Linked DNA regions of Macaca mulatta. The protein of the gene in region 1 interacts with the protein of each later gene in a biochemical or structural test. Links are inferred from orthologs where the notes say so. Each region holds a gene or a part of one and is shown on either strand. Other genes may lie near its edges. The genes, in order: MAGEF1 and NSMCE1.

Region 1 (12,176 bases):
GTAGCAAAATGTGTAACTGACCAGCCTGCCAAGCTGACTTGAAAAGCAGGCTTATAGGGGTCCTAAACCCACATTCTATCCTGTGGCAGCCCTCTCTCCATTACAGAACACAGAAAGACAAATTCTTTGCACAAAGTACACCAGATGTGCTACAGCCTAAGACTAGTCTCACAAGTCCTTTTTTCTATTAATCAAACCCTTGCAGAGGAGACAAATAGTTCACTGTTTATCCAGACAAAGAGAAAGAGACAAGAAACTTGGCTGGTAAGAATTTCTTACCTTTTTGTTGGGATACCAGGTTTCTGGGTTCCCTTTCTCTGCAGCTTCCAGAAGAATGAAGCAGCTTCTGGTGACCCTGCTTGCTTGTGCTATAGCTGTGGGGTTTAAGTCACTTACAAGAGAAAATCACCCTTTCCTGCTTTATGGAACCAAAGACAAGATTCTCAGTTTGCAAGATGCTGCCCAATGGGCTACATGGGGAACCGAATTAACATTTTCCATCCCAGCAAAATACACATAACAAAACAGACATTAGTCACTTCGTGCAGCACCCAGTATCAGCCTAGCAAAGGTCAAAATTTTTCCATTGGTCCCTGTTGTCTTTGACCCACTCCAGGTGGGGATGGATGACCTCTGAACGGTAATTCACAATGGGGTCTCTGAGCAAGGGGAAGACCAGACAGTTACCCCGAGAGGCCTGTTGAGCCTTCTTTAGAGCTCATTGAATGTGACCAGACAAATAAGGAGAGTTCTCTGAGTTAGGCCTGCTGGACTTTCATTAGCAACCCCTCTGAGATGCTTTCTACATATACAAACACACACAAAAATGAGATGGACAGATGGCCTTCCAAATCAGATCCCTAACCTAGAACTCCAAGAGTGTCCCTTCCAAACTATTCTCCTATTCTCTGAGAAACCTCCTCGAAATCTTCCTGATTGAAGAGAAGTCTCTCAAACCAGGACTCTTCCTACTGATTAGAAAGAGCCAACCAAGACCCGCCCAGGAGCCAAACACACACCCCGCAATGGAGCTACAGACACCCCACCATAGGGCTACAGAACCAGTCAGGAGAAGGAAGAAGGTGTTGGCAGCACCTAGGATACTCACCAGACATCCCACACTGGGGATACAATAGACACCCTGTGATAGGGCTACAGTTAAGGGATGTCTCCCTGGGACTATTTCTCCATTGTAATTAAATCCATGCACATTGGGTTGGCAGCACCCTGCCAGTACAGAGTACTGGAGTTAGCCCCCAGTTCAAGAGAACTAGGTGACTGCTTGGGCTGGCTTCTGGATCCATCATTGGAGTGGGGCTACCTGTCCATGGTTCACTGGCCCCCCTCCAGCGATGAATCCCGGATGAGCCCCCAAATTTGTAACTGCCGAAAGGGTTCACATTGCCACTGCCTAGACAGCCAATTCATCAGACAGGGGAATTACAATAGAGAAAGAGTAATTCATGCAGAGCCGGCTGTGCGAGAGACCAGAGTTTTATTATTACTCAAATCAGTCTCTGATTCATAGTTTTCGAGGGAATTTCCTTCACTGGCTTTGCTTCCTAGTTGCACTATAATAAATATGATTTGGAGTAATCCATCTGCCAACACTCCCTCAACCAAATCTTCCCTGCCCCACACACACAGTGTTTCACCCAGGAAGATCTAGTTCTGTGTGTGTCTGAAGGGGGCAGGAGGGGGGATCTAGGCCTTCCTTCTCCCTCATGTGAGTGGCCATAAGCAAGAGAAGAATCTGTGTCTTGCCCTTAACATGGCCAATGTCTGCTCCACATATGGGCCCAGAGACCACACTATTAGCACTTCTGGGAAGCTGATAAGGACATCTGCAATGGAGGTCTTTCATCCTGAGGCAAGGGTACCAGTTGTGCCAGCATTTTGTATTATTTGAAAACAGTGCTGGGAATCATATTTGCAGATCCACAAATGCTATTTGATTATTCCATGGCATGAAAGATGAATTTGAAGTTTAGTGGAGAGGGCAGACTGAAGACTGAGGAAACACAGTTTGTAAGGGCAAAATACGCTAAGTTTGAGCAAAAATACATTCTACTTGTAGCCAGCACTCTGAGAACACTGGGAAGAGTAGGTAGAGCTGGGACCAACATTCAAAGATAATGCCCCAACTGTATTTTATCCTCATTTTTACCTGCTGGGCAGCGACTTCTCATAATTACCTTGGCTACACAGCCCTTGTTTGCATCTCCAGAGAGACAGTGGTGTCTGAAGAAAGAAGATGATTCAGGAGACAAATGACTCAAGTCTGGAAGGAATCTCAAGAAGGAAATGTACAATAGTGAAAAGTGCGACCTCTTGACTCAGATTTCATCTCCAATCCTTGTTCTGTCATGGTCTATCTGTGAGACCCTTATAGCATCTGAGTCTGTTTGCCTCATGCAAAATGGAACAGATGATATCTTCTAAGACAGTTATAAAAATCACTAGGCCAGGCGCGGTGGCTCACGCCTGTAATCCCAACACTTTGGGAGGCCGAGGCAAGCAGATCATGAGGTCAGGAGATCGAGACCATCCTGGCTAACACAGTGAAACCCCGTCTCTACTAAAAATGCAAAAAATTAGCCGGGTGTGGCAGGAGGCTGAGGCAGGAGAATGGAGGGAATCCGGGAGGCAGAGCTTGCAGTGAGCCGAGATCGCGCCATTGCACTCTAGCCTGGGCGACTAAGCGAGACTCCATCTCAAAAAAAAAAAAAAAAAATCATTAAAACATGTAAAGCATAAAAAGCTGGCTCATCTTAGGTATTAAAAAAATAATTGGTAACACTACTATCATTAGTGTCTGTCAAATAGAGGTATTTGCAATGTGCTTGTGAAAAGGAGAAAAAGAATGCCTTTGGCCTTTAGTAGATATTTAGTCAATGGTCCCGTTAGTCCTGTCTTTACCATGCACCACTACATGTTTGACCTTGAGCAAAGCCACCTCTGTCATTGGTAAGACAGGGAGAATTTCTACTCTATCTCACTCCCGTAACAACTGCAGTGGTGACTGGAGATAATTACACACACCTCACTTGTTTTTTGGAGTTGTGATGACCAAAATTGAAGGCTAGGAATGGGGAACAATGTACTAGAATGAAACACACTGGATTTTGGGGCAACAGACTCGGGTTATAGTCTTGGTACTGCATTTTACCAACCAAAAGGCCTTAGGCAAATCACCCAGTAATCTGACCTCTCATCCCTGTGAGAAAATACAAATGTGAGAAACTATCATTATTGCTCCTAGAGGGCAAAGCCAGTCTTCTTTTTTTTTTTTTTTGAGACGGAGGTCTTGCTCTGTTGCCCAGGCTGGAGTGCAGTGGCACGATATCGGCTCACTGCAACCTCCACCTCCTGGGTTCAAGAGATTCTCCTGCTTCAGCCTCCTGAGTAGCTGGGATTACAGGCGTGCGCCACCACACCCAGCTAATTTTTGTATTTTTAATAGAGACAGGGTTTCACTATGCTGGCCAGGCTGGTCTCGAACTCCTGACCTCGTGATCCACCCACCTCAGCCTCCCAAAGTGCTGGGATTACACGCGTGAGCCACCACGCCCAGCCAAGTCTTCTCATTTTAATAGTTCTGGTACCCATCAATGTTGTTAGCACCGAGTGGGCACTCAATATTTACATTTAATGAATTATAAACTATTCAGAAGTTGTATTTTTAACCATTACCAACTTTTTTGCCCATAAACTGGTAGCTTTTGTCCCAATCTGATTTGGTGGATCCCTATGTTCCAAAGTAGTTTGTATTCCATGCCAACCTTAACATCCTCAGAGATGTTACTTGGACACAAATGGAAGAAAAAACTGACAAGAGAAAAGAAAGCAGCTCTTCTGTTTATGGCAGTTGCAGGGGAACAGTTTCACTATCTGCCCGCCCTGCCCCCCACCCTCTGGTTTGGGAATCACTTCTCTAAATTACCTATTATTCTAAGTACCTTTTCTATGGGATTTATCCTCACAGAAGGTGGTGGGCATTGAAGAAGCCAGAGCTGCTTACGGATGACTCTCCACGGATAATATGAAGGGGAGGGATGCCTTACAAGTCTCCTCCAAATGGGAGGTGGCAGGTGGAAAGCAGTAGGTTGAAACATGGAAGGGAGAACTGGGCTTCCTGGTGCCAGAGGAGAAATCTTGAAGTGGAAATTCTTGGTAGTAGTAGATTTATGTACCCTTCGTTCACACTACATAATATTCCAGAAGTATTACCTTATTTGATCTCTGAGGGCTTTGGTAAAAGAGGGAACCCTGTAGAAGTTGAAAAGGAGACAGAAAGGGTCAAAATTTTAACAATCACCATCTTTGTGCACTGTTAACAATCTGGTCTGGAAAGAGGACACTGGTGAAGGTAGGGTATTTTCCAGATCTGCCATGTATCAAGTACTGCTCATGTTACTGAGTAGTAGCTGTAATCTGAAATCAGTATTTTTATTTTTTATTTTTTTCTGAGAAAGGGTCTTGCTCTATCGCCCAGGCTGGAGTGCTGTGTCGTGATCTCGGCTCACTGCAACCTCCACCTCCTAGATTCAAGGGATTCTCGTGCCTTGGCCTCCCAAGTAGCTGGGATTACAAGCGTGCACCACCACGCCTGGCTAATTTTTGTAATTTTAGTAGAAACAAGGTTTCTACTACTGACCAGGGTGGCCAGGCTGGTCTTGAACTCTTGACCTCAGGTGATCAGCCCGCCTCAGCCTCCCAAAGTGCTGAGATTACAACAAACCTCACTCAATCACCCCAGCTGGGTTAAATATCCCTTTGTAGTCTTCAACTTACTGCACTGTTAATTTCTCGTTTATTTACTTACTCTCCAACTCTGAAAAAAAGCAGGACCTTTATCTTGTTTAGTATTCTAACCCCAAGTGCCCACACAGTGCATCACAAAAAACAAGATACTCCACAAATGTTTAATTTATTAAATGTACCAGGGTATACTAATTCATTACATTTTAATTTTTCTATAGATACTCAAATAGCTAAGCAAATGGAGGTACATGCCAGCCTTTCTTCTTTTATATACAACAGACAAAAGTATTGGGAGGCTAGACACCAATCAGCTATTTTTTCTCCTGGAACCAGATCATCATACTGCTGAGTTCCTTCAAACCATTAAAGTACAGCCTTCCTTCCAATGCTCCATAATCTGTTCAAAATCACAGTATAAATACAAAGTTCTTCAAGCCATTTTACAAAACCAGCAAAACTCTACAACAAAATCCTACAGGAAAAAGTAGAACAATCTCATTTACAAACAGCATTTTAACAGTATTATTAAATGTAACAAAACATAAGATACAAAATCTAAATCCTTAAAGTCACACTATTTCTACAGAAATAAGACCCTCGCCCCACCTATACTACTTATGACTCAGGACAGTAGCTCATCCCCACGGGGACCCCACTGGCCAACTTTTCACCAACCCTCACCAGAGGTGGATGCCGGCCCTAGCACTGGCCCTGGCCCTCATACTGGCTTCAGCTCTGGCCTTGGCTCTGGCCCTGTCGGCCTCGTCTGCTAGGGCCTCACGGTACTGCACTGGCCAGTGCTGGGGTTCCTTCTTATGCAGCTTGGCCACGAACCCCAGGACTTTCATCTTGCTGATTTCCAGGTTGCTTCGGGGACCCCAAGAGAATTCATATTCCGGTGGACTGGTGTGAGGCACCCGCCTGTAACTGAGGTATCGCTGCTGCACAAAATCTTCCATAATAAGCCTCTTCGGATACCCAAAGAGGAAATGATACTTTGAGGGTTGCATCCCCAACCGATGCAGCATCTCCCAGACTTGGGCTTCCCTGGCCCTATTACCTCTCATATAGATAAGGCCCAGGATCATCATTAACAGACCCAACCTGGGGCCATCTCCTCCCAGATCCTCCTCCTCCTCTTCCTCCTCAAGAGGTTTTAGTTTGTTGATCAGGATGTAAGTGTGGTGCTTGCGGTCAAACTGTTTCAGCTCAAAACCAAAGACATACCGCAGATGCTCTGCGGCCCTTGCGATGATGTTCGGGAACAGAGCCTTCAAGTCTCCAATAACGTATTTCACCATCTCCGAGCGTGTGATGGGACTCTTCTTCTTGTCTTTCACCAGGAGGAACTGCACCAACTCCGCCACCGTCCGATTCAGACGGCGGCAGGCCCTGCGCCTTGCCAAGGCTTTGGCTGCCAAGGCCCTCGCGCCTTTCCGGGTGAGGGCGGGCTCCGCAGCCCCCTCCTCCCTCCCGGCGCCAAGCTCCTCCTTGGGGCGCTCCTGCGAGGCGGTCCGGGCCCGGGTCTCACCATCATGGCCGCCATCCTTCTCCCCCTCGGCCTGCGGGACCGGGAGCCCCCTGCTCTCTGGTGTCTGCAACATGTTTTCGGGCAGGCAGGTGCACAGCGCGTGCACGGGCCGAGGGGTGTGGAAGCCGCCGTGCAAGCCCCGGGGGAGAGGCTGGACAGCGGCTGGGGCGGCGGGAGTACGAGGAGCAATGGCAGAAGGAACTTTGTAGCTGCTGGGCCGCACCACACGGGAGTCAAACCTGCTGCCGCAACGCCGCCAGCAGCCGGGACCTGCGGCGCGCAGCCTCAGTCCGCGCCCGCGCGAGGGGCCGCTTCCGGCCACCTCAGCCAGGATGGCGACCCTAGCGCCGCGCGAAGCCCCTCCTTTTCCGGCCCCTTCTGGGTGGGGGCGTGTGCCCGGGCTGCTATAAGTGGAAGTGCCCTGGAGGGTGGGACGTGGGTGCACCCTGTGCCGGATTTTAGGCTCGAAAACTCGGGGGCGGGGAAATGTAACCAGGACTCTCCCATCCAAGGCATGCAGACTGGGGAAGTTTCAGTGTACAAGGGATGAAATAGGGATGGAGTGCCACTCACGTTCTTTCTGCAAGTGCCTATTTGTAAGTGTGTGTATCTCGGATTTTCAGTGCTTTACCGTGGCTCTAGTGCAGAGTGCACGGTGAAGGCTGGGAGGTAAGACTGTGCGAGACAATTAGTAAGGGATGCTAGGGAGATTGAAATTTATTCTGGACATAAAGAGAAAATACTGCAGCGGGATTTAAGCAAGTGAGTGTCCAGACCAGATCTGTGTCTTCATGTTCTGGTGGTATTGTGGAAGATGGATTGGAGTTCGGCCGGCTAAAAGCTATAATCCAGTTTGGAGGATTATTATAGTGCAAAATAGGAATTGGGACCTGGCCTATTCACTGGGGTGTATCTTCAGTGCCTAGAGCAGTGCCTGACACAGAGAGGAACTCAATAAATATTATTCAATGGGTCATTATGGTAAGGGAGTAAGGACAGCAGATTCCATGGGGATCAGAGGAAAATGATAAGATATACTGAGGAAGTACAGCAGAAATAGGGACTGGTTGGAAGAAAGGGGAAGTTTTTTGGTTTTGTTTGTTTGTTTTTGTTTTGCTTTTTGTTTTTGCCCAAGTCAAATTTGACTACTGCCATGTATTTCTTCTTTTTCTCTTTTTACAGACTCTGAGCTTGCTTCCGCTTCTTGCTCCTTCCTTCCTTCTTTACTTCCCTTCTTCTTTCCTTCCTCCCCTTCTACCTTCCTCCCTCCCTCCTTCCCTCCCTCCTTCCCTTCCTGCCTCCCTTCCTCCCTCCCTCCCTCCCTCCCTCCCTCCCTTCCTTCCTTCCTTCCTTCCTTCCTCCCTTCCTTCCTCCCTCCCTCCCTCCCTCCCTCCTTTCCCTGTCTGAAATGCCTTCTTTGTTACCTCCATTTCTCCAAATCCTGTCCACCATTCAGGGCCCAGTTTAAACATCACCTTCCCAAACCTTCGTTAGTCACCATGCATAGAAGTTATTTATTGTCATCTCTGAATCACCTTAGCAATTTGTTAACAACCACGTATACAGGCCTATTAGGTGCCAAGCTCCATTCTAAGCATTTTTCAAATATTAATTCATCGGATTCTCACTAATGTAGGTACTAATACCATCATCCCCATTTTATAGATGATTGTGTCTTTTCTGTGGCACAGTTTGCTACTTACTGGCTGTATAATCTTGGGCAAGTTACCTAAACTTCTGCCCTTCTGTTGCCTTATCAGTAAAATGAGTATAATAGTAGTAACAGCATTGTGGAGATTATGTGAAGTAACGCACATAAGCATTTAACACAGTGCTTGGTACATATTGATATTCAATAAATGTTAGCTGTTAATTATTGCATATTTTTATATGCAATATACAATATTAGAATTGCAAGATGAACTGTCCTGGAATGCCTAGCACTCTGTGGAGATGTGGAGGAGGTGTCCTGGGACAAAGCACAGAACCAGGTCAGTACTCACCCATTCTGTGACCTTGCACAGGATGCTCAAACACTCTGGGCCACTTTTTTCCGATACTGTAGCCCTGCTAGGTAAGTGGTATTATTAGCCCCATTTTCCAGGTGAGGTTACACACAAGGAGGTTAAGCAACTTGCCCAACATCACACAGCTGGGACGTGAGCCCATATAGTATGACTCCAGAGACCGTGCTCTTAACCACTACATTTGTGGATGTTAATTATTATTATCATTTACTATACTTTGTACTATAATGTGTTGTGCTTATCTTATTACTCTTCCCAAACCAAACATCCTAAAAGCTAGGGCTATGTCTTTAACTCTTTTGAAGAGCTTCTCATAGTCAATACTCGATATATAATTGGCAATGAATAAATGACAGAATGCTTTACTTTTTTTCCCTGGGAAATAACAGTTACTTATTTTAAGTAAATATCTGACAGACTTTTCTAAATCTAAATATGAAATCTTCCTTTTAAAAACTTTTGAAAATATATACCCATTTGTATCATATGACTTACAAAAACTGAAAGTATGTGAATGAAGCAGGAGAAGATGTTTATTATAGCCCAGCTCAAGGCTGTTATTAGTTTTCATTGTGCCAAACATTTTATGTACAATATAATTTAGTCCTCACAAATCCCTATTAAGAAGGTATTATTATCCACATTTACAAATGGGAAAACAGTCACAGAGAGGTTAAATCACCTGCCCCAAACCACCCATCTGTTAAGTGCTAGACAAGAAATGAAAACCCAGATTTGTAAACTCTGAAGCAAGACTGCCTGGTTATCTGTTTTTCCTGAAGGTAGAGCGAGCCACCCATACCTAAAAGGACAGGGCTAGAGATAAAATAGTCCACTTGCATATTTTCCTCACTACAAGGATTGCCAGGAAGATATGCAGGAGATATATGCATGGAAAGGAGCATGCAGAAGATACATTAAATGAAAAGAATTTTGAGGGACAAATCTGTGGTAATAGGGCTGGATTTTAAGAACTGAATGAATGACAATACTGCTCATAAGAAGGAACAAATTACTGACACCATGTGAATGAGTCCGGCAGATATGTTGAGTGACAGAAGAAAGATACAAAAGATTATACATATAATATGATTCCATCCATTTGATGTTCAAGGCAGGATAAACTAATTTACGGTGATAGAAATTAGGACAGTGGAGGCATGGGGTGGTGTTGACTGGAAAGGGGTATCCAGGAACTTTCGGAGGTGATGGCAATGTTCTGTGTCTTGATTTGGATGTAGGTATACATTTGTCAAAACTTGTCAGACTGTACACTTAATAGCTATGCATTTCTTTTCTTTTTTTGAAACAGGATCTCACTCTGTTATCCAGGCTGGAGTAGTGCAGTGGCACAATCTCAGCTCACTGCAGTCCCTGCCACTGCAACCTCCACCTTCCAGGTTCAAGTGATTCTCTTGCCTCAGCCTCCAGAGTAGCTGGGATTACAGGTATGTGCCACCACACCTGGTTAATTTTTGTATTTTTAGTAGACATGGGGTTTCACCATGTTGGCCAGGCTGGTCTCAAACTCCTGACCTCAAGTGATCCACCTGCCTCAGCCTCCCAAAGTGCTGGGATTAGAGGCATGAGCTACCACACCCAGGCAGGTATGCATTTCATAGTGTATGAATCATACCTCAAAATTTATAGAAATAAAAAGGATTTTAAAAAATGAACAGCCCTTTAGGTATGGGAGGTGGTGAGGAGTAAGAAAGGTGAATGGACTTTGCTTTACCACTTGCCAGTCCCTAGATGTTACCATGTTATAGTGGGAGGGATGCAAACAATCATTTTTCTCATTTCATTATGTCCACCATGTAACTGGACAGGCAGACTTTTTTTTTTTTCTTTTTTCTGAAATGCAGTCTCGCTCTGTCGTCCAGGCTGGAGTGTAGTGGCGCCATCTCAGCTCACTGCAAGCTCCATCTCCAGGGTTCACCTCATTCTCCTGCCTCAGCCTCCCGAGTAGCTGGGACTACAGGCGCCCGCCACCTCACCCGGCTAGTTTTTTGTGTGTTTTTTAGTAGAGACGGGGTTTCACCGTGTTAGCCAGGATGGTCTCGATCTCCTGACCTCATGATCCGCCCTCCTCGGCCTCCCAAAGTGCTGGGATTACCGGGCGTGAGCCACCGTGCCCGGCAACAGGCAGACTTTTAACACATTCCTTACCTAAGCTTTTAAAAGGGACAAAAGGTATATGTGTTTGGTTTGGGAGATGATGAAACATATACTTCAATGACTATTGGGTTGGAATCTTCTTGAGAGAGAATCCTTCTTAGCCTAGACTAGAGTCTTCAAAAGCTCACAGTGCTTCGTACAGTTTCATACGTGGAAGGGAGAAGGATGTTCCACTGGAAAAGTAGATCTGCAGCTGAGCTGTCCTGGAATGCCAGCACGCTGTGGAGATGCGGAGGAGGTGTCCTGGTACAAAGTGCTGAAGCACGTCAGTACTCGCCCATTCTGTGACCTTGCACAGGCTGCTGAACCTCTCTGAGCCACCTTTTCCTCATCTTTAGGCCCTGACAACCCTTGTTTTGCCCATCCTCACAGAGTTATTTTGAAGTTCAATCAAGATTATAAATGTAAATATGCGTTTAAAATGCTCCACCGTTAAGAAATAAATATAAAATATTACAGACCCTTTTCTAAAAGAGACGTGGTGGAAAAATCCCAGTAATGAGGGTGACTGGCCTCTTATACAGACATTTCGGAATAGCTTACACATTCCTCGTTGAAAAAACTGTCTGGCCAAAAAAGATTAAATAAAGAAATGTCAAGTACTGACACTCTATTTGAGGCCAGTGAATACTTTGGTACGGAGCCAGGGTTATCTTGTTGGATTCCTTCTAAACTTGGCAATAGAGTCCTCCAAACTCTTGAATGCCTTCTTCACATAGGTGCTGAGTAACATGTCACCCCAGATCTGATGGTCCCCAGGCTGCATAGGTGCTTGTGTCTTCCCTATTTCTCCTGACAGTCTTGATAGCCGTGCAGCTGATCCGGCTTCAAGCAGGGATCAGAGGAAGAGCTTTGTCCCTATCCCTAGGCTGGGACAAATTGAAGGCTGGTTTTGTCAGAGCAGAATGGGCAGAGTGTGAGGCTTTGGGTCCCTCTGTGGGGCTGGGATTGAGGCAGGATGGCCAGGCAGATGATTCGATCTGACTTGGGTAATGAAAATTGTTTGTTACTGTTTGAAGAGTAATTGTGTAAGCAACAGTACTTCTGTGTTTGGCTGCCAGTGACTCACCAGTGTCTGTAATATAATACCAAACCCAGAGGAGGAGCAGACCCTGGCCTGCGGGGGAGGGGGAATGGCAGGGGGCAGAAGGCCCCCTACTCATTCTTCCCCTTCTCCCTCTTCCACTGTCCCACCCCCTCTCTAAACCTTGAAGGAGAGTTGGCGAGAAGGCATTTGCCACCTGGACACAATGAGGCCCAGTGCAAGGGGCGGGCAAGAGCCTGGCCAGGAGCCAGGGCCCTGGTCTGAATGGCTGTTGCCAAGGGGCTGCCAACAGCCCATCTCAATCCCCAAGAGGCCAGGCAAGGGCGGGGGCCCCAACCCCCACCTCCGAGGCCCACCTCACGCCATTTGCAGGCCGTGATCAGAATGTGCAGGATGCGGGGTCTTTGAGTGGCTGAACAGAGCCGTTTCCCCTCTGCTGGCCGCCGGTCCGCTTGGATTAGAGCGGCCTCTCCGGAGCCCCTTTGTGGGCTGCTTGTTATTCCGCACGCACAGAGCACTGTGCATTCATCTTTATTAGTTCTAATTGCTTCCCCATTCTAATGGGATCTTGATATTCCCATACAATTGAAAGGAAATGTATTCATTAAAATAATTCTTCTCCTAACTGCCG
Region 2 (12,083 bases), on another chromosome or scaffold:
TACTGAAGGGTGTGCCTTTTTCTTCAGTTGGTTCCGGATTCTGAAAAGGAGTGGTATTTTTTTATTTTTATTTTTATTTTTTTATTTTTTTTTATTATTATACTTTAAGTTGTAGGGTACATGTGCATAACGTGCAGGTTTGTTACATATGTATACTTGTGCCATGTTGGTGTGCTGCACCCATCAACTCGTCATTTACATCAGGTATAACTCCCAATGCCATCCCTCCCCCCGCCCCCCTCCCCATGATAGGCCCCGGTGTGTGATGTTCCCCTTCCCGAGTCCAAGTGATCTCATTGTTCAGTTCCCACCTATGAGTGAGAACATGCGGTGTTTGGTTTTCTGTTCTTGTGATAGTTTGCTAAGAATGATGGTTTCCAGCTGCATCCATGTCCCTACAAAGGACACAAACTCATCCTTTTTTATGGCTGCATAGTATTCCATGGTGTATATGTGCCACATTTTCTTAATCCAGTCTGCCACTGATGGACATTTGGGTTGATTCCAAGTCTGTGCTATTGTGAATAGTGCCGCAATAAAGTAGTGTATTATTAACTCCTAAGTCCTCAAAGTGGTATTTCTAAGACTGAAAGTAGCTGTCTCAGAATCCCACGATATGGACTTTATCCCACACTCTTTATCATGACCATGGGCTTGTAGAATATTGAGGTCAAAAGGATCCTCAGACATGCCTTTAGCCCAGTGTATCCCTACAGATTAGCAAACTGTAGCTTCTCCACCAGGGCTCCAGGATCAGAGGAGAGAGCAGGGGCAGAGCTGTGGACATTAGCTGTCCTGAAGACCTGAGGCTGGGAAGCAGCGATCTGGTGCCACCTTAGCACTTAGTGGGCATCGTAAGGGTCTTGGGAGCAAGCAAGAGACCCCAGTTCTGAGAAAGGAATGTGTCGGGGCTGGGCGTGGTGGCTCACGCCTGTAATCCCAGCACTTTGGGAGGCTGAGGTGGGCAGATCACTTGAGGTCAGGAGTTTGAGACCAGCCCGACCAACACAGTGAAATCCCATCTCTACTGAAAATACAAAAAATTAGCCAGCTGTGGTGGTGAAACACCTGTAGTCCTAGTGCCTGGGGAGGCTGAGGCAGGAGGATCACTTGAACCTGGGAGGTGGAGGTTGCAGTGAGCTGAGATTGCGCCATTGCACTCCAGCCTGGGCGACGGAGTGACACTCCATCTCAAAAAAAAAAAAAAAAAAAAAAAAAGGAATGTGTCGAGATGCTATTGGGGGAGGGACACGTAGGATTCATTGGTGGCCAGGTGCGCAGTTGGGGACGGGCAGGAAGCATGGCACCACTGCATGGCCAGAGCAGCTGGCCCTCTATAGTGTCTAGGCTGGAGCCACCTCCAAGCTTCCTTTTGTCCCTTGCTCAGATTGCGAAAGTGTCTGGCTGGTGTGGGTTCTCTGTCTACTCCTGGCTGCCCTAATCTCTGGTCCCTTCAGCTTTCTGCTTTCTGGTTCCCTGAATATTGTACCTGGAATTATTCTCTCACCAAAACCGCAAATGTAAGAGAAAGACAATTCTAAAAAAAAAAAAGAAAGAAAAAAGGCGAAGGTCTCATTAGGGAGGGACATGGCTGCTGGGCTGGCAGGCGTCACCAGCTGACTCCTGTTTCAGGGTGGCCGGACACAGCAGCTGGAGCACCGTGTGATGAGGAAGGAAGTGCTGGAGCCGTGGGAGGACAGAGCTGGGAAGTGCAGCTCATCTGGTTGGGGAAGGCCTGTACAGCAGGCTGCCAGAGGACCAGGAGGCTGGGGTCCAGCCAGGGGTAGTGGTGGAGAGGCGGGAGGGAAGAGGGTTCTGGACATGTGTGAGGCTGGAGGTGAGACCGTGTGTGGCTGTTAGAGATGAGAAGTCGGGGAGAGACTCTCACAGGGCCCCACAGAGCGGGAGGGCAGGACGGGCTGGAGCCCACACCCTGCTGCCAGTCCCATGGCACCACACCGCCTCTGTTGCTGCCAAAAGGAGTCAGTTGAGGGGTTTGCTGAGCGTAAGAGAAGTTTCTTCTCAGGTCACAATTAAGAGGCGCTGCAAGGGCGTGGGGCCTCCATGAGAAACAGTTACAGGGTCAGTGATGGAGATCGTGGACACGACCCTGATGCAGGAAGCGTGTGGAAGGAAGGAGAGGGCGATAGCGGAGAGAATGGGAGCGCCCAGGCGGTGGCTGGTGTCTGCAGTGAGCGAGTACAGTAGGAGGAAGTGGTTGGTCAGATAAAAATACAGCAAAACATTCATGGTTTCTGAAAAATGAGGCCGGACGCCAAACCAGAGGCAGTGGGGAGAGGGGAAGGGCAGAGAGGGCTGCTGGCTGCCTCCCCGCAATGGGGTGTCTGGAAAGTCCAGTAGATCAGAATGCCTCTCATCTGCCCACAGGGCACATTGTTCTCAGTGACACCCAGGAGGGGCCTCGTTAGTGGAAAATGTGAGTTGTCAGTTTCAGAGGGAGGTGGGACTTGCCCTGGTGTCACACTGGGTGGACAGGGCTCCTGTCACTCACTCTGCACTGAGCAAGGCTTTTTGGTGTCTGGGCCCCTTGCGTCTGAGCTCCCCAGCACTGGCTGCCCTTGGGGGTGGAAAAGCGTGTCTGCCCAAGTCACCGGCACAGGCAGGTACGGAACAGCTTGGCTCCCACGCCAGCGAAGAGCTGCCTTGCGTGGTGTGGAAGAGGAAGACAGCATCGGGGGCAGAAGAGAACATTTCCTGGAAAAACAGGCCATCGAGGTGGCTGCAGCAGTGGAGGGAGAGCTTTTCAGAAAGGAGGGACCCGTGAGCAGAGGCGTGGAGGCAGGAAGTCAGGCCATGCCTCTCAGTCCTGATGCCTGCTCTCCAGCCACCGAGGCCAGATGCCATTGTCTCATGTTACGATTGCACCATGTCCATGTTCCACCCACTTATTATGACTACTTTTTAATTTAAACTGCCTTTTAAAAACTTTATTTAAATGGAAGGTTAGCTCCTCGCTGAGCATGGCGCGTTAGTGTCACTGCCCTGGGCTTTGTTCTTGGCTTTTCTGGGCGCCCACAGTCTGATCCTCTGATAGAGCTCACTGGCCTGGGTTGTCCTTGACTCTTTCACACGGCTATGTCCTCCATTTTCACCAGCGTGATCTTGTTTTTTTTTTTTTTTTTTTTTTAACTTTATGGATCTTGAGTTGTATGGGTAGCTTAGAAATGCCTCTGTCTATAAGAAATCAAACATAGACACACAGCGTGAGGGCGCTGTGATGACCCCCGTTTAGTCCCTTCCTGGCAGTGGCCTTGGTCATCAGTCCAGTGGGCAACCTGCTGGGCCTTTTCCTGTGGGACCGTTTCATTGGTTCTGTTTTTGTTTCACACGAAATGTATCAGATTGTCTGTTTTTTCTTGCAGTTTTTTTTCCAAAATGATTTTCTAAGGCATGAATCTTTTGAAATTATTTATTTTAATACATAAAAACAGTGAAAACAGTAATACATACTCTTGCTTTAAAAAGTTTCGCAGCACAAGCTCATTCCTGTAATCCCAGCATTTTGGGAGGCCGAGGTGGGCGGATCACCTGAGGTCAGGAGCTCGAGACCAGCCTGGCCAACATGGTAAAACCCTATCTCTACTGAAAATACAAAAACTAGCTGAGCGTGGTGGTGGGCGCCTGTAATCTCAACTCCTCGGGAGGCTAAGGCAGGTGGATTGCTTGAACCCGGAGGTGGAGGTTGCAGTGAGCCAAGATTGCGCTACTGCACTCCGGCCTGGGCGATAGTGAGACTGTCTCAAAAGACATGACTGTCTCACAGCATGAAAGGTACACAGCGCTGGACATGTCCTTCCACTGCTTCCAGTGCTCAGAGGCTTCCTGGTGCCACAGGAGAAAGGCCCTGCTGTCCCCGGCCACAGGCCCTGTGTGATCTGGCTCCCTTCCCCACCGCAGCCTCTCTGCCCTCCTTCCTTCCCTGGCTGATCAGTGTCCATTCAGCTGAGCCCCCGGCCATACTGTGGGTACCCCCTCCTCAGACTGATGGACCTGGATGGTGGCCCCTGGGCTGTGAGCGTCCTGCTGGCAGGGCCAGGGGAGGTGGGTGACAGAGAGGTCAAAGCCCCGGCCTTGTGGTACAACTCTGGGTGAGTCAGTTCACCTTTCTGCGTCTCAGCCTCTTTCCCTGTGCCCAGAGAGCTGCTGGAGGGTGGATTCATGATGACAAAGGGTGCCCGGGACAGGGCCTCTCCATGCTGAGGGCTTGCTGCAAGCCGCCCTTCTCACCCCGGTTGTTGTTATTCTTACTGTTCCAGCCCAGGACCTAGCACAAGCCTGGCATGTAAGTGAGGATAAGTGGACACTGAATAAAAAAAGAAAGGAATAAAGCTCCACCTAAGACGTGTGGGGACGCAAAGGGACAGAGGCCTCTCGCGGGGCACTGGGGACGAGGTAGAACGGCTGAGATGGGATGGGATGTGTGTGCAGCGGGAGCTTAGTGCACGCTCTGAGCATGTCATTGAGTGATACGCTGAAGGTGCTGATCCAGACTCTCATCGGGAGGCAGCGAGCAAAGACAGGAAGCCCGCGGCAGCCTCCGTGGTTGCAGATAGCATCTCCCCGGCCCTCCTGCCTCACAACGCCCTCCATCTGTTGTCTGTTTGTCTTCCAAGTACTCCAGGAAGAAAGAAGCCACACGGCACTGGCATTCACCCAAGAGGCTGCAGCCTCCGCCCGTGTCTGGGGTTGCTGTCCCCTGTGTTGAGATGGGATGGAATGATTCAAGCAAACTACGTTTTTTTGATGAGGCCCCCCATCACACCCCTTTTTTGGTCTGTTTATTTCCAGGCAATGCCACTGTAGATAAGTTGGAGGACTTCATCAACAACATTAACAGTGTCTTGGAGTCCTTGTATATTGAGATAAAGAGAGGAGTCACGGAAGATGACGGGAGACCCATTTATGCGTTGGTGAGTGCCCGGCAGAGCCCTCTAGTGGTGTTTTTGAGGAGCTGGAACAGGGCCCAGGCAGCCCGTGTTTGCTTTGGTTTGATTTCTCTTTTGGACAGTTCTTTGTAAAGAAGTCACTCCAAATGTATGGAATATTAGGAATAAAGGGAGAAATGGTTTTTTACTTAGAATAAGACATAGAAGCGATGAAAAGAAACAGTGTGTAGGAGTGTCAAGGATTGCGACCCACGTGGGGTCTTCAGTGGTTTTCAGATTTACTCTCACAGGTAGGGATCAGGGTGAAAACACAGGAGTGGGAAGCTGACATGCCCCATCCCTGGCTAGGAGACACCTCGGGCTGGTCAGAGGACATCTGGCTGCTCCCAGCCAGGCTCACACTCAGAAAGGAGCACTCTAGTCCAGGGTTTCCAAAACATTACACAGGCAAAGAACTATGGAAATGCTGGTCAGACACGGCAAAGCAGATTTCCTTGCTGTCGGACTTCTCAGTGCCTTTTGCATTTGAAGCTCCATTAACATGTAGACAAATCTCCCAAATTTATCTGAGTTTGGAAAATACTGCACACCCTCTGGAGTTCTGAAACTTCTGAGGGTCTAGCATGTTGACTGAGCTAAAGAATAAAGTCTGTAGTATATGCCTGGTTACAGATCCATCCTGCGGCTCGCAGTGCCTGGATACAGGAGCTCAGTGACTGGCCAGAGACGGAGGAGGGGAGGGAGGGAGAGCCAGCGACACGTTAACCAACACGCGAAGGGCACAGCCTGACTGTTGCGCTGACTTATTTCTTAGGTGAATCTTGCTACAACTTCAATTTCCAAAATGGCTACGGATTTTGCAGAGAATGAACTGGATCTGTTTAGAAAGGCTGTAAGTAGAGTAATCCCCGTCGCCCATTGGCTGGGCTTCTTATGGGAAAGTTCTTTCTCAGTCGTTAGAAGTGGCAACTGCAGTCTTCAAGGATCACTGCGGGGGACGTGGGCCACCACTGCTGTCTGAGGAAACGCTTTGCAGGGAGATATCACTGTCTACCCATCTGGAATTCACAGCTGTCAGGGGCCCCCATGGCTGCCTGGGAAGGAAGTGCTGGGCCAGGTGTGAGCCCCAGCTGGATGGGCAAGAGCAGGGCCTCACTGGTAGTAACAGGCGTTCCTACCTGGCTGCTGTTAAGTGCCATCTGGGAAAGGCAGCAGCAGCAGCAGCATCACCTGGGAGCTTGTTAGAAAGGCCCAGTCCCAGTCCCTACCCTAGACTGCTGAGTCCGAATCTGCATTTTTGCCAGGTGCCCGCTGAATCATTTGCATGTGCACATTTGAGCGGCATTGCTCTACCAGGCTTCAGAGCTACTTGCTCGGCCCTCTGGTCAAACATATGGCTAAGAGTGGTTCTCGGGCCTACATAACTGCAGAGGTGAGAAAGAATTCAGACATTTCAGCCCCACTTGGGATCTGTCGAATCTGAATCTCTGAGAACCAGGTGTTGGAATCATTCCTTTGAGGTCTTCTCCTGGGGTTTATTAGCTGCCAGGGTTGAGGAGCAGGTGCTGAGCTGAGCACACATCTGCGTGTGCAGGAACCTGTCTTCTCCAGAGGTTCCTGCCTGCCGTGTCTGTCTCTCGCTGCCTCTGAGGCCAGCTGTGAGGCAAGGTGACCCTTATTGATTTGGGGACATTAAGATGATTTATTTGGGAGGATGTTATCGAAGTGACCTCTGAGTCAAAAGAACTGAGCACAGTCCTGACTCTTGATGCGTATTACATTGTTTTCCCCGAATACCGTGCCAGTGTGCAGTTCTGCCTGTGATCCGAGTGGCCTTACTGCACCCCTGCCAGACTTAGTATTACCATTTAAAAGTTATTTTTGCCATTTTAATAGAGAAGCATGGTACCTGCTCTTTCTTCCAGCTGGAACTAATTATTGACTCAGAAACTGGCTTTGCGTCTTCCACAAACATTTTGAACCTGGTTGATCAACTTAAAGGCAAGAAGATGAGGAAGAAGGAAGCGGAGCAGGTGCTGCAGAAGTTTGTCCAAAACAAGTGGCTAATTGAGGTACTGTCTCATGGTTTTCCAGTCCGGCTCACTCTTTTGAGTGAATAGCAGTTTTGTCTCCAAAATCGTATTTCTAGCCAACTGATGTCTGTGGAGCCCAGCCTTCTCAGATCCCTTATCTGCTTTCACTCTTTTGAGTGAATAGCAGTTTTGTCTCCAAAATCGTATTTCTAGCCAACTGATGTCTGTGGAGCCCAGCCTTCTCAGATCCCTTATCTGCTTTCACGCATTCCAGCAGTGACCCCATGGGGAGGATCTGGGCCTCACCTCTCCTGCCTCCCACTCCCTGTTCACCCACATGATGTGTTGAGGATGCCACAGCCAGAATGGCAGAGCCAGGAGCTGCACCCGGGATTTGGGCCCCGGGACCAAGCCTCTAGCCCACAGACTGCAAGGCAGAGGCAGTTCCGTGGCTGAGAGTGTGGCTGTGATGTCTGACCCGGGTCTGAACCCTGAGCCAGGTGACCTCAGGTTCCCTGTAAGAGGGAAGTTGTCGTTTCCCCTTTGGGGCTGGGTGTGTCAGGAGCAGGAATGGGACCTCACAGTAACGTGCTCCGTGCTGCGCTGGCTGGCTCGCGGGGGAGGCAGCAGAGGAATTGGCGACGTTACCACTGTTGTTTTTGTCAGCAGTGAGTTCCTCAGGGTCAGTACTTAGAAGAGGCACAGACAAGCTTTAGGAAAGGAGCTGTGACGTCTGGGACAGGCCCCACTGCAGCTCCAGTTTCTAGATGCTGCCCCGCCCCCACGTCTAGTCCTGCTGAATGGAGCAGAACAAATGTTTCAGTTCTTTTTCCACAAAAGGCACCCCTGTTTTCAACAGCGTAGTGTTTGCTGAGTTGACCATTGCTGTGCCCTCCCAGATGCTCGTGCCCGTGTGTGTTGAGGACGCGCTCACGTCGGGTTCCCGCTTCCTCACTTGGTGGTCGGACTTGTGGCCAGAGGCTGCTGCTTGTGGCTGCAGCGACTCTCCACTTCCTGTTCAGGAAGGCTTGCCTCCGGATTGGGGAAGTCTGTGTTCTGAGTTACTAATTTCTGTGTAGGGTGGGCCTGTACCAGGAACCTGACCCAAATTCAGTTCCTGGGGTACCTGATGGGAAGAAAGGGTGGAGAGGTCACGGGGTGAGGGCAGAGGTCACAGGGGTGAGGTCAGGGCTGGGAGCTCCTGGTGAGTGCAGGATCTGCTGGGCACATTCCCGTATGTCCTGTCTCGGAGGCTGCCTGCTGTCCTGCAGTGGCTCCATAGCTTAGTTTTTAGCTGACAGCTCAGGGGTCTGGATGACATCGGACAACAGCTCAGGGGTCTGGATGACATCGGACACCCTGAGAGTGGCAGGGCCGAGTTCAGGCCCCAGTTTGGGGACTGCAGCTCCCATCAATGGCTTTGTCACAGTTTTTCTTGCCCTCCGGGCTGTATTTGGTACTAGAGAATGTTCTAGGGTCTGCTGAGGTTATAACTGACGATTCTCGCTTGTGGTGCAGCCCCTCTTAGGGCCAAGTTTTTTTTTTTTTTTTTTTTTTGAGATGGAGTTTCGCTCTTGTTGCCCAGGCTGGAGTGCAATGGTACAATCTCGGCTCACTGCAACCTCCACCTCCTGCTTCAAGTGATTTTCCTGCCTCAGCCTCCCAAATAGCTGGGATTACAAGCATGTGCCACCATGCCTGGCTAATTTTTGTATTTTTAATAGAGACGGGGTTTCTCCATATTGACAAGGCTAGTCTCGAACTCCTGACCTCAGGTGATCTGCCTATCTCGGCCTCCCAAAGTGCTGGGATTACAGGTGTGAGCCACTGTGCCCAGCCATGGGCCAAGTTTCTTAAGGGCAAGGGTTATGACCTCTTCATGGCTGATTCCCATTGCAGAATCTAGTGCGTGGCACCTCAGGCGCTCAATAAATGCTTGCTGATTGGATGACTGAACGGGTGGATGAGGTTACAGAGGAACAGAGTTTAAAACTTACAAAAAATGTTACAGGAAATACCTGTTCATTATAGGAGGATTACAACATGTCAAGATGCATAAAGAAACCCACTGAAGTCACCTGTTATCCCAGCCCCTAGAGCCAAGTGCCCCAACATTCCATTTCACAACACTTTGCAGCCTGCTTTGCACCCAAGAGCATGCGTGCCTAGCACACGCCACCACCATTGTGCATGGCTTGCAGGGCGTGCCCCCAGCTTTATGATTTGACTTGCCCTTTGTCTGCCCTTGGTGTCTGGAGAGGGCTGTGGTGGATAGGAGAGGCACCGCCCTTGGAGTCTGTGGGGGTGAGCTGTGGCTGCAGGCGCTTGTACTCTGTGCCTTTCTCAGTTCGGTGGCAGTGCTGGCACCGCCTTCTGCAGGGCGCCTCTGAGCTCGAGGGAGGGTGGATAGAGGATCCGGGAGCTGCCACCTGCAGGAGCGCTGCAGAAGTAGCAGGGGGCCCTCAGCACTGGTGCTGGGCAGTCGCCCTGGAGAGGCTTCTTGTTGACTGCCTGGCCTGCTGGGGCCCTGAGGAGGACGAAGGAACAAAGCTCATGTGGCAAGAGCTGCGTAGTGAGACTCCTCCAGGTTCCTCTGCCGCCTGTGGCAAGCAGCTTCTTGTTGCAGAGACTGTTTCCTCATCTGCAGGATGGAGACACTGCCAGCTCCAGGTTTCTGTGAGGGTCCAGTGCTCTCTGACCTACATGGCCTGGTAAGGGTTGCCCTGAGGTCTGCGGCACTCTGGAGGAACCGCTGAGAACAGGGGTGGGGTGCTCATGTACCCAGGACAGGTCTTCCTAGGGCAGCACCTCGATCAGAGAGACCACACGTCAGCGTCTGATCCTTGGCTTCTCAGACACAGGGCTTCCCACAGAAACAGCCAGGGGTCCACTGCCAAGGCCCTTCCAGGTGGGCATATCACCCCAAGGACATGTCACTCCTAGACAGCCAGTCCTGTGCGAGACTGGCTCAGCATGGAGGTGCTGAGGCAGCTGCCGGTCCAGGAGAAGGCCCAGGGGTGGTGGGTGGTTGGGGTCAGCAGAGAGGCTTCTGAGAGCAAGCGCGGCTCATGGGAGCTGGACGTCTGCTGATGGACGCACCTCCATGCACCCCAGGACTGCTCCCTACAAGAGGTCCTGACTTCCAAGTGTCGTGGCGAGGTGTCTGGGAGATTGCCTGGGCTCTCGTCTTCTCTGAGGGCTAGGGCACCCCTCCTACCCCTTCCCTGATGGGCCCACAGAGGACTGAGTGGGTCATGAATGGTGAGCCTTGGGTGCAGTTTCAGGTGCATAGTAGGTGTTCAGTAAATGCAGCTTGGCTGGGCACAGTGGCTCACACCTGTAATTCCAGCACTTTGGGAGGCTGAGGCAGGTAGATCACTTGAAGTCAGGAGTTTGAGACCAGCCTGGCCGACATGGTGAAACCCTGTCTCTACTAAAAATATAAAAAATTAGCTGGGTGTGGTGGCGGGCACCTGTAATCCCAGCTACTCGGGAGGCTGAGGCAGTAGAATCACTTGAACCCTGGAGGCAAAGGTTGCAGTGAGCTGAGATTGTGCCATTGCACTCCAGCCTGGGCAACAAGAGTGAAACTGTCTCAAAAATAAGTAAATTTAAAAAAATAATAAAAATAAATGCACCTCCTGCCTCAGTCTAAGCTTGAACTTGCTCACAGTGTGAGGCACTCCTCTGGGATCAGTGCAAGGTCTACTTCATCTTCCTGTGGGCCTGCCAAGTGCTGGGCCCCACAGCAGGTGCTGCGGACACTGGAGTGAGCAAAACCAGAGCTGGTGGCCACTCCCACGGGGCCGTGGTCTGGAGGGAGAGCCCAAGAGCAGTGAGACGGTCATCCCACTGCAGTCCAGGTACAGATGGAAAGGAAACATGGCTTTATGACAGCTGTCCCAGAGGAACTGGCCCTCAGCTGCTGAGTAAGTGACACTCAAGCTGAAGGCTGTGTGGGAGTTGCCTGGAGCCTGGGGTGGGAGGATCATCAGCCCAGCAATGGCCCTGTGGCCAGTGAGTGTGCTCAAGAAGCTAAGGCCAGGGCCATCTGAGCACAAAGATTGCTGGGGAGAGCAGACGAGGGCAACCCGGGAGATACATGCATTAGGGGCTTGGCCCTTGGACCTAAGGGTGGTGGGAAGCCCTCGGGCGGGGGTGAGGTGGGAGTGACAGGGCCAGGCTTGTTTTGTAGCAAGCACATTGCTGGAGGAGAGTGGGCTCAGAGAGCTGCAGGAACAGGGGAGGGTGGAAGAGGGTGGAGGCTGGGGAGGTGGGGTGCCGTGATGGATCTGGAGGAGGGTGGAAGGCAGCAGTGACCGGGGATGTGAGGTGCCGTGATGGATCTGGAGGGGAGGGTGGAAGTGGGTGGTAGCCAGGGAGGTGGGGTGCCATGATGGATTTGGGAGTTTTGGGGAAGGTAACAGCCATGGGACCGAGGACCGAGGACTGAGGACGGCCTGAGGGCTGGTCACATCCTCCCATTGCCCACAGCACTTGGAGAACACAAAGCCCCTGTGCACCAACAGCCGCCGTGCAGGGCATAAGCACCTGGTACCCTGGCCTCCCTCCACTGCTCCCGCAGCGGCTGTCCCTGCCCCAACCCCATGCCTCTACCCTGCCTCCCTTCCTGTGCTCACCCAGCCCCTCTACTGGTGTTCCAGAGTGAATGCACTGCAAGCCCAGGTTATGCAAGCACACCCCCTCCACACTGCACTCTGGGGATGGAGGCAGGAATGGGGTGGGGGGGCTCTACCTGTCAGAAACAGGAGTGGGCCGGGTACGGTGGCTCATGCCTGCAGTCCCAGCACTTTGGAAGACCAAGGTGGGTGGATCACCTGAGGTCGGGAGTTCAAGACCAGCCTGGTCAACATGGCAAAACCCCATCTCTACTAAAAATACAAAATTAGCCGGTGGTGGCACACACCTGTAATCCCAGATACTCTGGAGGCTGAGGCAGAAGAATTGCTTGAACCCAGAACACGGAAGTTGCATTGAGCCAAGATCATGCCATTGCACTCCACCCTGGGCAACAGGAGCAAAACTCCATCTCAAAAAAAAAAACCAAAAAACCAAAAAACAAAAACGGGAGTGACAGCTCTTGCTTGTAAAAATTAGAAAATAACAGGAAAGGCAGCTGAGC

What was found.
Region 2: the proteins of MAGEF1 (region 1) and NSMCE1 form a complex in vitro, tested with the Homo sapiens proteins (2 studies listed by BioGRID). The link is inferred for Macaca mulatta from reciprocal best matches to the Homo sapiens genes MAGEF1 and NSMCE1.

What each region holds. Positions count from the first base shown.
Region 1 is NC_133407.1:96,860,700-96,872,875, forward strand, and holds MAGEF1 (melanoma-associated antigen F1), read right to left. Parts: upstream 6,583-12,176; 5' UTR 6,369-6,582; coding exon 5,442-6,368; 3' UTR 4,912-5,441; downstream 1-4,911. UniProt on the Homo sapiens protein: Enhances ubiquitin ligase activity of RING-type zinc finger-containing E3 ubiquitin ligases. Proposed to act through recruitment and/or stabilization of the E2 ubiquitin-conjugating enzyme at the E3:substrate complex.
Region 2 is NC_133425.1:26,775,741-26,787,823, reverse strand, and holds part of NSMCE1 (non-structural maintenance of chromosomes element 1 homolog), read left to right. Parts: intron 1-4,809; coding exon 4,810-4,931; intron 4,932-5,721; coding exon 5,722-5,799; intron 5,800-6,832; coding exon 6,833-6,979; intron 6,980-7,839; exon of another isoform or gene 7,840-7,987; intron 7,988-10,743; exon of another isoform or gene 10,744-11,218; intron 11,219-11,272; exon of another isoform or gene 11,273-11,839; intron 11,840-12,083. UniProt on the Homo sapiens protein: RING-type zinc finger-containing E3 ubiquitin ligase that assembles with melanoma antigen protein (MAGE) to catalyze the direct transfer of ubiquitin from E2 ubiquitin-conjugating enzyme to a specific substrate.